3 linked regions of the Saccharomyces cerevisiae S288C genome follow. The protein of the gene in region 1 purifies or fractionates together with the protein of each later gene. This does not show direct contact. Each region holds a gene or a part of one and is shown in the gene's direction. Other genes may lie near its edges.

Region 1 (3,758 bases):
TTTCACCTAATTATAGAAACGCGTACTAATGTTTTTTGTTATTGAAGAAACTGGAAATGACTAAAGAATACTCAGGCAACGATGAGCATAGCCAAAAAAAAAAAAAAATTTGTTAAAAGTGATACTGGTAACTTTAATACAATATCCAAAGTTTATGATATCAAGTTGGAAACGGTGTCGATGTGGACTTTGTTAGAGGTTAATCTGTATTTGTGACTGGGCTCTGCCAAACTTACTATCTTCTATTATCTAGGCTCAAGTAAGTAAGATGAAAAAAAGAAAAAGAAAAAAAAGCAGAAAAAAAGCAGAAAAAACAGTAAAGTGGGTGTGAGTGCACTGGAAAGCCTGTGTAATAAGTTTTTGATGTACTGTATTCCTTGCGAGTATTATCACAAAGCTCTACTGTGTTTGCACTGTGGGCGTATAGGGATATCGCGAGGGCAACGCAAAACTAGCAAGATACACATATTCCATACATTAAAGCGGTAATTTTTAGTAGTTAATTTCGAAATTTCAAACCCGGCAATGATACGCACATTAAGAAAAGGGAAAAAAAAAAGAATAAATTGGCCATAGAAAAATTCTGTTATCCACTAGACAGAAGTTTGCGTTCCATACTGTCAGAGGTGGCATTTTACATAACAATAGTGACAAAAAATAAATTTCAGAAGGAAGGCAACATAAGTTTTTCTAATCCTAAAATCTTTCGATTTTGTATCAGAGATTGTTCACGCTAATGTCATTCATCATAGTAGATCATTTATCTTTCACTGCGGAGAAGTTTCGAACGCCGAAACATGCGCACCAACTTTCACTTCTACAGCGTTTGACCAAAATCTTTTGAACAGAACATTGTAGGGTGTGAAAAAATGCGCACCTTTACCGCTAGCCCAAGAGGGCACTACAAAATCTAGAGTTGTACTTCAAACGTACATGTAATCACCTTGTATATACTCGAAAGAAAACATCAAGTTTCTGTATAAATATGAGTGAAAGCATAATCATACATTATCTTTTCAAAGATGAAGAGTGGGTGAATTTTGAGATAATTGTTGGGATTCCATTTTTAATAAGGCAATAATATTAGGTATGTAGAAAGTACTAGAAGTTCTCCTCGAGGATTTAGGAATCCATAAAAGGGAATCTGCAATTCTACACAATTCTATAAATATTATTATCATCATTTTATATGTTAATATTCATTGATCCTATTACATTATCAATCCTTGCGTTTCAGCTTCCACTAATTTAGATGACTATTTCTCATCATTTGCGTCATCTTCTAACACCGTATATGATAATATACTAGTAACGTAAATACTAGTTAGTAGATGATAGTTGATTTTTACTCCAACAAAAGAATTACAGTCAGTGGCTGTTTGCTGACATTTCATTGCTTCCCTTACAACCTGATTTCCATTCGAGTTGAAAGGTTGAGAAAAATTGCAAGACTTCTCTCTCATCTACCTTCCCCTTTTCTTGAAGACAAGGTGAGAGACAATTTAGTACTAAAGCTTTTGCGGTTGTTATTCAATTGAGGTAGATACCTGGCAAAACATTTCTTGTGAGCACAACCTCAATTAAAGTTAGACAAGTAGGTGCACTATTGGTTGCTTGTTGGCTCATCTCGTTGAGGAATGTAATAACTACTTGTTATTAACCTGTTTTTGTGCCATCTATAGTGGAGAGCTTATTGCAATTTGTTTTTTATTTCTTGACTGCATATATCAGTCTTTGACAGGCTGCATGGGGATGACAGTTAGAAACTAGCCAAATTACCCCTTATGTAGATAACAATCATTGCTTATTCGCTCTTCCCCCATTTTTTTTCTTGCTCTTGCTGTTTTTTCTTTTAGCGTTCGTTTCAAGGAACAAGAGAGGGAAAAAAAAATCAAAAGTAGAAAAGAAGAAGAAAAAAACAACGTAACACAAGTTAACACCACAACTGAAAAAAAAAATAAGAGGTGAACGAACGAGTAACTGGGGAGAGGAAAGCAGATTACCACAATATACATTCAAATTAAAGAAATGGACTCACAACCAGTTGACGTTGATAATATCATCGATAGATTATTGGAAGTAAGAGGATCTAAACCTGGTCAACAAGTTGATCTAGAAGAAAATGAAATCAGATACTTATGTTCGAAAGCCAGATCTATATTCATAAAGCAACCCATTTTACTAGAGTTAGAAGCCCCAATTAAAGTATGTTAATGTTGAACTTCGCAGTCAAGAGATAGAATGCCTAGAGCTTCAGGTGTTTTATGTGTTCTACTCCTGTTGCGGCAGTAAGATAGTTACAGCAGTTATTTCCGTTTGACTGAAAGAATTTACCAAGCATCTGATGTTAGCCTACTCATATGTCGAGATAGCCGAGATAATGTGTGTGTTTAGCTCTTCATTTTTCTATCTTATTAGGCATTTTTTTACCAAGATTTCCTTATGTTTTGTATCATCATCCGGCCGGCGCCTCCCATATTCAGAAAAATCCCCCTTGCTCACACTAAAAAAAGAAGGCATTTTTTCGTTATGAAGAAAACGAATCTTTTTTTTTTTTGAGCCCGAGAGAAAGGTCGGACGAAAACCAAGAAATGTGGATTTGCAGAAGGCATTGGGAGAAATGAAGCGTTTTTGACAGCAGTAATTGTTCTCTTAAAGTCAACGGAATGAGCTAGATTTAGTGACAAATTCATTTACTAACTTATTTTTTTCTATTTTTTTTTTTTTTAGATATGTGGTGACATTCATGGGCAATACTATGATTTACTACGTCTATTTGAGTACGGTGGATTCCCGCCAGAATCTAATTATCTATTTTTGGGTGATTATGTCGACCGTGGTAAACAATCCTTAGAGACTATTTGTCTATTACTGGCTTACAAAATTAAGTATCCAGAAAACTTTTTCATTTTAAGAGGGAACCATGAATGTGCTTCCATTAATAGAATTTACGGGTTTTATGATGAATGTAAGAGACGTTATAATATCAAACTTTGGAAAACTTTCACGGATTGTTTCAATTGTTTACCAATTGCTGCAATTATTGATGAGAAAATCTTCTGTATGCATGGTGGTCTCTCACCAGATTTGAATAGTATGGAACAGATCAGAAGGGTGATGAGGCCAACAGATATTCCCGACGTTGGCTTATTATGTGACTTATTGTGGTCAGATCCAGATAAAGATATCGTAGGTTGGAGTGAAAATGATAGAGGTGTTTCTTTCACTTTTGGTCCTGATGTAGTGAACAGATTTTTACAGAAACAAGATATGGAGTTGATTTGCAGGGCCCATCAAGTTGTGGAAGATGGTTATGAATTCTTTAGTAAAAGACAATTGGTGACACTTTTCAGTGCTCCGAATTATTGTGGTGAATTTGATAACGCTGGTGCAATGATGAGTGTTGATGAAAGTTTATTATGTTCTTTTCAAATTTTAAAGCCAGCCCAAAAAAGTCTACCAAGGCAAGCTGGGGGTAGAAAGAAAAAATAAATAGATTCACGTCCTAAATCAAAGTTTAAAAAGGAAAATACTTATTAACAAGAAGAGTAGTAGAAGAAAAATACAAGAAACATAAACGTAGAAAACTTTTAGTCAATTCTTTAAGCGAAGAATACGAAAGAAACATCAAGAAAACAAAGGAAGATGCAATCATCACTCGTCATATACACAAATAATTCCCTTTAGTGCAACAAACCGCGAAAAAGCATAAGAAACATAAAAAAAATATAAAAAAAAGGAGATAATAATAAGATGTG
Region 2 (3,758 bases), on another chromosome or scaffold:
AGTCTTCAAAGCTTGATCATTCTCTTTATGCAGGTCCAAATAATCACTTAATTTAACACTGGAAAGTAACCCCGTTAAATAGTCCTCGAATTGCCACCTAATGAAATCCTCACTGCCTTCAAATTGAGAGTTTTTTGGAGTTTCATCATCATTTTCGTTCCATGTGTCTGATACAATTCCAGATATAGATTCAATCCATTTTTTATCATGACTTGACAATTGGAGGACGGGGTTCAAAGTCTTGTCCAGAATATCTACAGTGGAATTGTCTGTATTGACAAATATGTGGCACAGTTCCTCCTTTTGTTCAGCAAGCAATGTGTTGGAACTTCCAATCATAAAAAACAAAGTACGTTCTGACCGTATGTCATTCATTTGCTGCAGTGGAGTATAGGGTGAAAATAGTCCACCTTTTTCGAAAATCGGTAATGGAAAACCTAAGAATCTCAACACTGATTCTCGATTGCTTGATTTAAACGAGTCCACAACATTTAATTTCGAAATATCCTGAAACAACTGAGGACTGCCAGAATCCTGCAAATTTGACATCAAGTCCGGAATTAAGCTGATCAGACCGAACTGTAAATTACACAAAGCTTCCACGTCGTTGCCGTAAACTATAATTTTTTTTTCAAGCATAATTGCTTTCAATAAGACTAAAGCGTTTCTCTTAAAATCATGTAGTATCTTTCTCAGACATAACCCAATATAAAGACGATTTTCGGCATTTCTGACCAATGATGCAGGCGTGTAAATCGACTTCAGGTTTTCGTATAAAGACTGGATTATCTTCCTGTCCCCAAAATCATGCTGCAAGAAAAAAGCATTAGTCACAATACTAAGTTTGTCCTTGATTTGACCGAAGATTGGTTGCCTTGAGATGACTACAATTGCCTTCTGTACAGTAGATCGTGTTACATCCTTATCTTTAGTGACCAATTCATCACTCTTTATCTGTCTCGAGCAAGATATGGCAAACAAAGTCGTGTTGTCATTGATGCTATCATCACTCAGATCAGTTGCCCCGTTGGGAGGGCTCCTTTGTCTTCTTTCATCATATAGTAATGTGAAATAAGTAAATGTTTCTTCAAACGAGTGAGAACCATCAGGAAGGGCCTGGAAGGGTAAATTTGGCCATAGTTCTGCACTTTGGGTGCCCTCAGGTAAGCCATACCAGTATTCTATTTCAGGGCCTCTTTTGTGATGAAAGTCCACAAGGCAGATACCGAAGATGACTGCTTCCTCGTGTTCATCCATTATTTTGACAACAAGGTTGCAGCGAGGCAGAATGTATATGTTAGTTTGATATGGTCTTCCTGCTTGGATTCCTTTAAGGCTTCAAAATTTTCTTGAAAAGGAAACTTCGTGAATGAGCTGTAAGGATGCTTGATCGGGCCGTACATTCTTATGCAAGATCCATTATTGACTGCTCTCTGTTGGGTTAGCTTCCATATCTTCCGTTACCCGTTCGTATAATCATTACCCGACGGACAAGCATCATTTCAGCGGCTATTTTTGCTAGGCAAACCTCCTAAGCAATGATACTTCTCAAACGTTCAATGGAAGTAATAGAAGTTCAACTTACCCCATTAATAATCCACACATTAGAAGGTTGGGACAATAAAAATAAAAAGCATTAATTAGTGTAAACTTTGCTCCCAAATGCAAGTCTAAGGTAAGTTCTTTGGTTCATGGAGTTTTTGCAGTGTAATCTCACGTGCACTAGACTGAGTAAAGCGAACCTGAGTTCAAGAAATAATGATTCACCTATGACATATAGTCCAACTATACAAGCAATGAACCCTTACGGATTGAAGTCATTCAATGTTCAATGTTTGTTGTAATAAGAAATATTACTAGAAAAAGATTTTTTCTTTCGGCGGCGTTTTCCCGCTTTTCTTAAACAATCTGCAGTTTTAACATCGAATTCACGAATATTTGTTCGCTAAAGAAATAACACAGAAGATGAAATGAAGAACATACATTGAGGGCGACGAATATATATGACTTATAAATACAATTGCTGTGATGATGGATCAGGAACCACCGTTGGTTCAGTGGTACGATTTGATAACGTCACCTTGTTAATCGATCCCGGTTGGAATCCATCTAAAGTATCGTATGAGCAATGCATCAAGTACTGGGAAAAAGTGATACCGGAAATTGATGTAATAATACTATCACAACCAACAATTGAATGTTTAGGTGCTCATTCCCTTCTGTACTATAATTTTACCTCGCATTTCATATCCAGAATTCAAGTTTACGCAACTCTTCCTGTTATCAACTTAGGGAGAGTTTCCACCATAGATTCATATGCATCTGCAGGTGTTATAGGTCCATATGACACAAATAAACTCGATCTTGAAGATATTGAGATATCTTTTGATCATATTGTACCTTTGAAGTACTCGCAATTGGTAGATCTACGATCAAGATACGATGGATTGACTTTACTGGCGTACAATGCTGGTGTGTGTCCAGGTGGTTCTATTTGGTGCATTAGCACATACTCAGAGAAATTGGTTTATGCAAAGCGATGGAACCACACTAGAGATAACATACTAAATGCTGCTTCTATATTGGACGCCACTGGTAAGCCCTTATCAACTTTGATGAGGCCCTCTGCAATAATTACTACTTTGGACAGGTTTGGCTCCTCTCAACCGTTTAAAAAACGTTCAAAAATCTTTAAAGATACATTAAAGAAAGGTTTGAGTTCGGATGGGTCCGTTATAATACCGGTAGATATGAGTGGCAAATTTCTGGACCTGTTCACACAAGTTCATGAGTTATTATTTGAAAGCACAAAGATCAATGCGCACACACAAGTACCTGTACTTATTCTGTCTTACGCGAGAGGAAGAACTCTAACATATGCCAAATCAATGCTCGAGTGGCTGTCCCCTTCACTACTTAAGACATGGGAAAACAGAAATAATACTTCTCCATTTGAAATTGGATCACGGATCAAAATCATCGCACCAAACGAATTGAGTAAATATCCTGGTTCAAAGATTTGCTTCGTATCTGAGGTAGGAGCTTTGATTAATGAAGTGATAATTAAAGTTGGTAATTCTGAGAAGACAACCTTGATTTTGACCAAGCCGAGCTTTGAATGTGCGTCGTCTTTAGACAAGATACTAGAAATTGTTGAACAAGATGAAAGAAATTGGAAAACATTTCCTGAAGATGGTAAATCATTCCTCTGCGATAATTACATTTCAATAGACACCATAAAAGAAGAACCCTTGAGTAAAGAGGAAACAGAGGCGTTTAAAGTACAGCTTAAAGAAAAGAAAAGGGACAGAAATAAGAAAATTCTACTGGTGAAAAGAGAGTCTAAGAAACTGGCTAACGGCAACGCAATCATAGATGATACCAACGGAGAGAGGGCAATGAGAAATCAAGACATTTTAGTGGAAAACGTCAATGGAGTACCACCGATTGATCATATTATGGGGGGTGACGAAGATGATGATGAAGAGGAAGAAAACGACAATTTGTTGAATTTACTCAAGGATAACTCTGAGAAATCAGCAGCGAAAAAAAATACGGAAGTTCCTGTAGACATTATAATTCAACCAAGTGCCGCTTCAAAACATAAAATGTTCCCATTTAACCCCGCTAAAATCAAGAAAGATGATTATGGTACTGTTGTAGATTTTACGATGTTTTTACCTGATGATTCTGACAATGTTAATCAAAATAGCAGGAAAAGACCTCTCAAAGACGGTGCTAAAACCACGAGCCCTGTA
Region 3 (3,758 bases), on another chromosome or scaffold:
AAGACTTCAAAGAAAAACAGCATATTCATTATTTAAATCTTTTAATCCACTTCAGAATGTTTGAAGAAGTCTTGGATGTTTTGAGATTGGGTCACGAGTGTCTTTCCGACACAGTAAGAACAAATTTTCTCCAATTATTATTACAGGAAGACATATATTCACGAGATTTTTTCAGCACACTTCTGCGCTTGTGTAACGCACATTCAGACAATGGCGAGCTATATCTTCGTACAGTAGATATTAAAATAGTGGATAGTATTCTGTCACAAAATCTACGGAGTGGTGATTGGGAGTGTTTTAAGAAACTTTATTGTTTTAGAATGTTGAACAAAAGCGAGAGGGCTGCTGCAGAAGTACTGTACCAGTACATATTAATGCAAGCTGATCTTGATGTTATTCGAAAGAGAAAATGTTACCTAATGGTCATCAACGTTTTATCTAGCTTTGATAGTGCATACGATCAATGGATTCTAAACGGAAGTAAAGTGGTTACTTTAACTGATTTAAGAGATGAGTTACGAGGTCTATAGTGAATATATAAACTGTAAATTAATACTTCATTTAAAAAATTGATCAACTCAAATCCGAATATTAGCACCATGATCTTCGTTTGTTTTTTAAGTAAAAAGATTGAACTTTAAATCTAAATTATTATTACATGAATGTACAGACAGGAAAAATAAAAAACAAAAACAGAAGAATCACAAGTTCCCTAATATAAAAGAATACAAAACATTATTTCATGACACTGTTCCTAGAGCTTGTATTAAAAGCGGTAGAAGAGAGGAGATAATAGAGAAATTTCAATGTAACTATTGGTCAACAAAGCATCCGGGCATATAGCATAGATATTACTCGCTCTTTTTTGAGTTACATGCCACAATCCTCAACTTATCCACCGAAATTACACTTTGGCTATCTCCAGACCCGTTCTGGGAGGCGTCGCGGTGGCTGTCCTCAACAGTAACCTGACAATTTTTTACGATAAAAGTCCAAACATCATCGCAAAATCCATATGTGTCCAGGTTTCCTTTCACAGTCAATTTAGATTGGGTATTGTCTTTTAAAGTCTCAGCCACCACTTTGTCAAATGTCTCTAAAACACGCATAGCTAACGACGCTTCTATTCTCCCATCACTAATTAAAGTATCAAGAGCATCCACCAAACTATTCCCTATAGTACTTCTACGATATAATTCGTAATACCCGGGTACTGCCATTTATCCTTACTGTTATCTTCGATAGCCTGTGTCCCCCTCCTAACCTCTAAGTGCATCTTCTACTTATTCCTTATTCGGTCGAATATTTCACAAAGTATTCTAAGGCGTTAAGAAAATATTGTTATTAGTAAAATTAGCTTACCCGGCAATACAACAATAATGAAGCTAACATTATGTTGTATTGACAATTCAGTTCATGTTTGACATTTGCCTAGCAGAAGACATTATCTGCCATGCAACCTGAAAATTCATAGAACTTTTGGAACTTATTTATCTATCTTTCTTCAATTTCTTTGGTTAACACTTTTTTTTTATGTTTTTTTACGTTTTGAGATCATAAATATTTGGAAATATAAATAATCACAAATTCATAACAACTCTTTTTTTAGATAAAGTAAAAACACAGTTATGTATGTAAAGTATTTTAAAACATAAAAAAGGATGATCGACTTGATATATTCATTATCATGTAGTGTATAAGCGGTAAATATAACTACCTTAATCCATTGCTGGTGCAATAACCTTCCTTATGCCATTATATTATGTCACAACATTGTAATTCAGGCGGGTAACTTTACTGAAAGTTAATACAATGATGATGAATATCAAGCATATTGTTAATAACCAAGTTTATGGCCAACATAAAATAAGCAAGAACAATCAAGAGGGTACTGAAATTTCGGTAGCTCTCATCATATCGGCAGAGACTGGAATAGTGTAACATGAGTAGCACGATATTTTACCGCTTTAAGTCTCAACGAAACACATCAAGAATTTTATTTGATGGTACCGGCCTGACAGTATTTGATTTGAAAAGGGAAATTATTCAAGAGAACAAACTAGGTGACGGCACAGATTTCCAATTAAAAATTTACAACCCAGATACAGAAGAGGAATACGACGATGATGCCTTTGTTATACCTAGATCTACTAGTGTCATAGTAAAAAGATCTCCAGCAATTAAATCATTCTCCGTACACAGTCGACTTAAAGGGAATGTGGGAGCAGCAGCTCTTGGGAACGCAACAAGGTATGTTACTGGTAGGCCAAGAGTGTTGCAAAAGAGACAACACACTGCTACAACCACTGCTAATGTTAGTGGTACAACGGAAGAAGAAAGAATTGCTAGTATGTTTGCCACACAAGAAAATCAATGGGAACAAACGCAAGAAGAAATGTCTGCAGCCACACCTGTTTTTTTCAAGTCACAGACGAATAAGAATTCTGCACAAGAAAACGAAGGCCCACCGCCACCAGGTTATATGTGCTATCGTTGTGGGGGTAGAGACCACTGGATTAAAAATTGTCCAACTAACAGCGATCCAAATTTTGAAGGAAAAAGAATCAGAAGAACCACAGGTATTCCAAAGAAGTTTTTAAAATCCATTGAAATAGATCCCGAGACAATGACACCGGAAGAGATGGCTCAGCGAAAGATTATGATTACGGACGAAGGCAAGTTCGTGGTACAAGTTGAAGACAAACAATCATGGGAAGACTACCAAAGGAAAAGAGAGAACCGTCAAATTGATGGTGATGAAACCATTTGGAGAAAAGGCCATTTCAAAGATCTTCCTGACGATTTAAAATGTCCCTTGACAGGTGGTCTTTTGAGGCAGCCGGTAAAGACAAGCAAGTGCTGTAACATAGATTTCTCAAAAGAGGCGCTGGAAAATGCACTGGTAGAGAGCGACTTTGTATGCCCCAATTGCGAAACCCGCGATATCCTTCTCGATTCTTTAGTACCCGACCAGGACAAGGAAAAGGAGGTCGAAACGTTTTTGAAGAAACAAGAGGAACTACACGGAAGCTCTAAAGATGGCAACCAGCCAGAAACTAAGAAAATGAAGTTGATGGATCCAACTGGCACCGCTGGCTTGAACAACAATACCAGCCTTCCAACTTCTGTAAATAACGGCGGTACGCCAGTGCCACCAGTACCGTTACCTTTCGGTATACCTCCTTTCCCCATGTTTCCAATGCCCTTCATGCCTCCAACGGCTACTATCACAAATCCTCATCAAGCTGACGCAAGCCCTAAGAAATGAATAACAATACTGACAGTACTAAATAATTGCCTACTTGGCTTCACATACGTTGCATACGTCGATATAGATAATAATGATAATGACAGCAGGATTATCGTAATACGTAATAGTTGAAAATCTCAAAAATGTGTGGGTCATTACGTAAATAATGATAGGAATGGGATTCTTCTATTTTTCCTTTTTCCATTCTAGCAGCCGTCGGGAAAACGTGGCATCCTCTCTTTCGGGCTCAATTGGAGTCACGCTGCCGTGAGCATCCTCTCTTTCCATATCTAACAACTGAGCACGTAACCAATGGAAAAGCATGAGCTTAGCGTTGCTCCAAAAAAGTATTGGATGGTTAATACCATTTGTCTGTTCTCTTCTGACTTTGACTCCTCAAAAAAAAAAAATCTACAATCAACAGATCGCTTCAATTACGCCCTCACAAAAACTTTTTTCCTTCTTCTTCGCCCACGTTAAATTTTATCCCTCATGTTGTCTAACGGAT

The links.
Region 2: the proteins of GLC7 (region 1) and CFT2 purify together in Saccharomyces cerevisiae (affinity purification with mass spectrometry; 5 studies listed by BioGRID, with this or other methods). This does not show direct contact.
Region 3: the proteins of GLC7 (region 1) and MPE1 purify together in Saccharomyces cerevisiae (affinity purification with mass spectrometry; 5 studies listed by BioGRID, with this or other methods). This does not show direct contact.

What each region holds. Positions count from the first base shown.
Region 1 is NC_001137.3:430,467-434,224, forward strand, and holds GLC7 (type 1 serine/threonine-protein phosphatase catalytic subunit GLC7), read left to right. Parts: upstream 1-2,028; coding exon 2,029-2,205; intron 2,206-2,730; coding exon 2,731-3,492; downstream 3,493-3,758.
Region 2 is NC_001144.5:375,982-379,739, forward strand, and holds the start of CFT2 (cleavage polyadenylation factor subunit CFT2), read left to right. Parts: upstream 1-2,003; coding exon 2,004-3,758. Other genes in the region: AVL9 (Avl9p), read right to left, coding at 1-1,257. UniProt on the Saccharomyces cerevisiae protein: RNA-binding component of the cleavage and polyadenylation factor (CPF) complex, which plays a key role in polyadenylation-dependent pre-mRNA 3'-end formation and cooperates with cleavage factors including the CFIA complex and NAB4/CFIB.
Region 3 is NC_001143.9:327,628-331,385, reverse strand, and holds MPE1 (cleavage polyadenylation factor subunit MPE1), read left to right. Parts: upstream 1-1,942; coding exon 1,943-3,268; downstream 3,269-3,758. Other genes in the region: NUP120 (Nup120p), read left to right, coding at 1-530; TOA2 (transcription initiation factor IIA subunit gamma), read right to left, coding at 852-1,220. UniProt on the Saccharomyces cerevisiae protein: Component of the cleavage and polyadenylation factor (CPF) complex, which plays a key role in polyadenylation-dependent pre-mRNA 3'-end formation and cooperates with cleavage factors including the CFIA complex and NAB4/CFIB.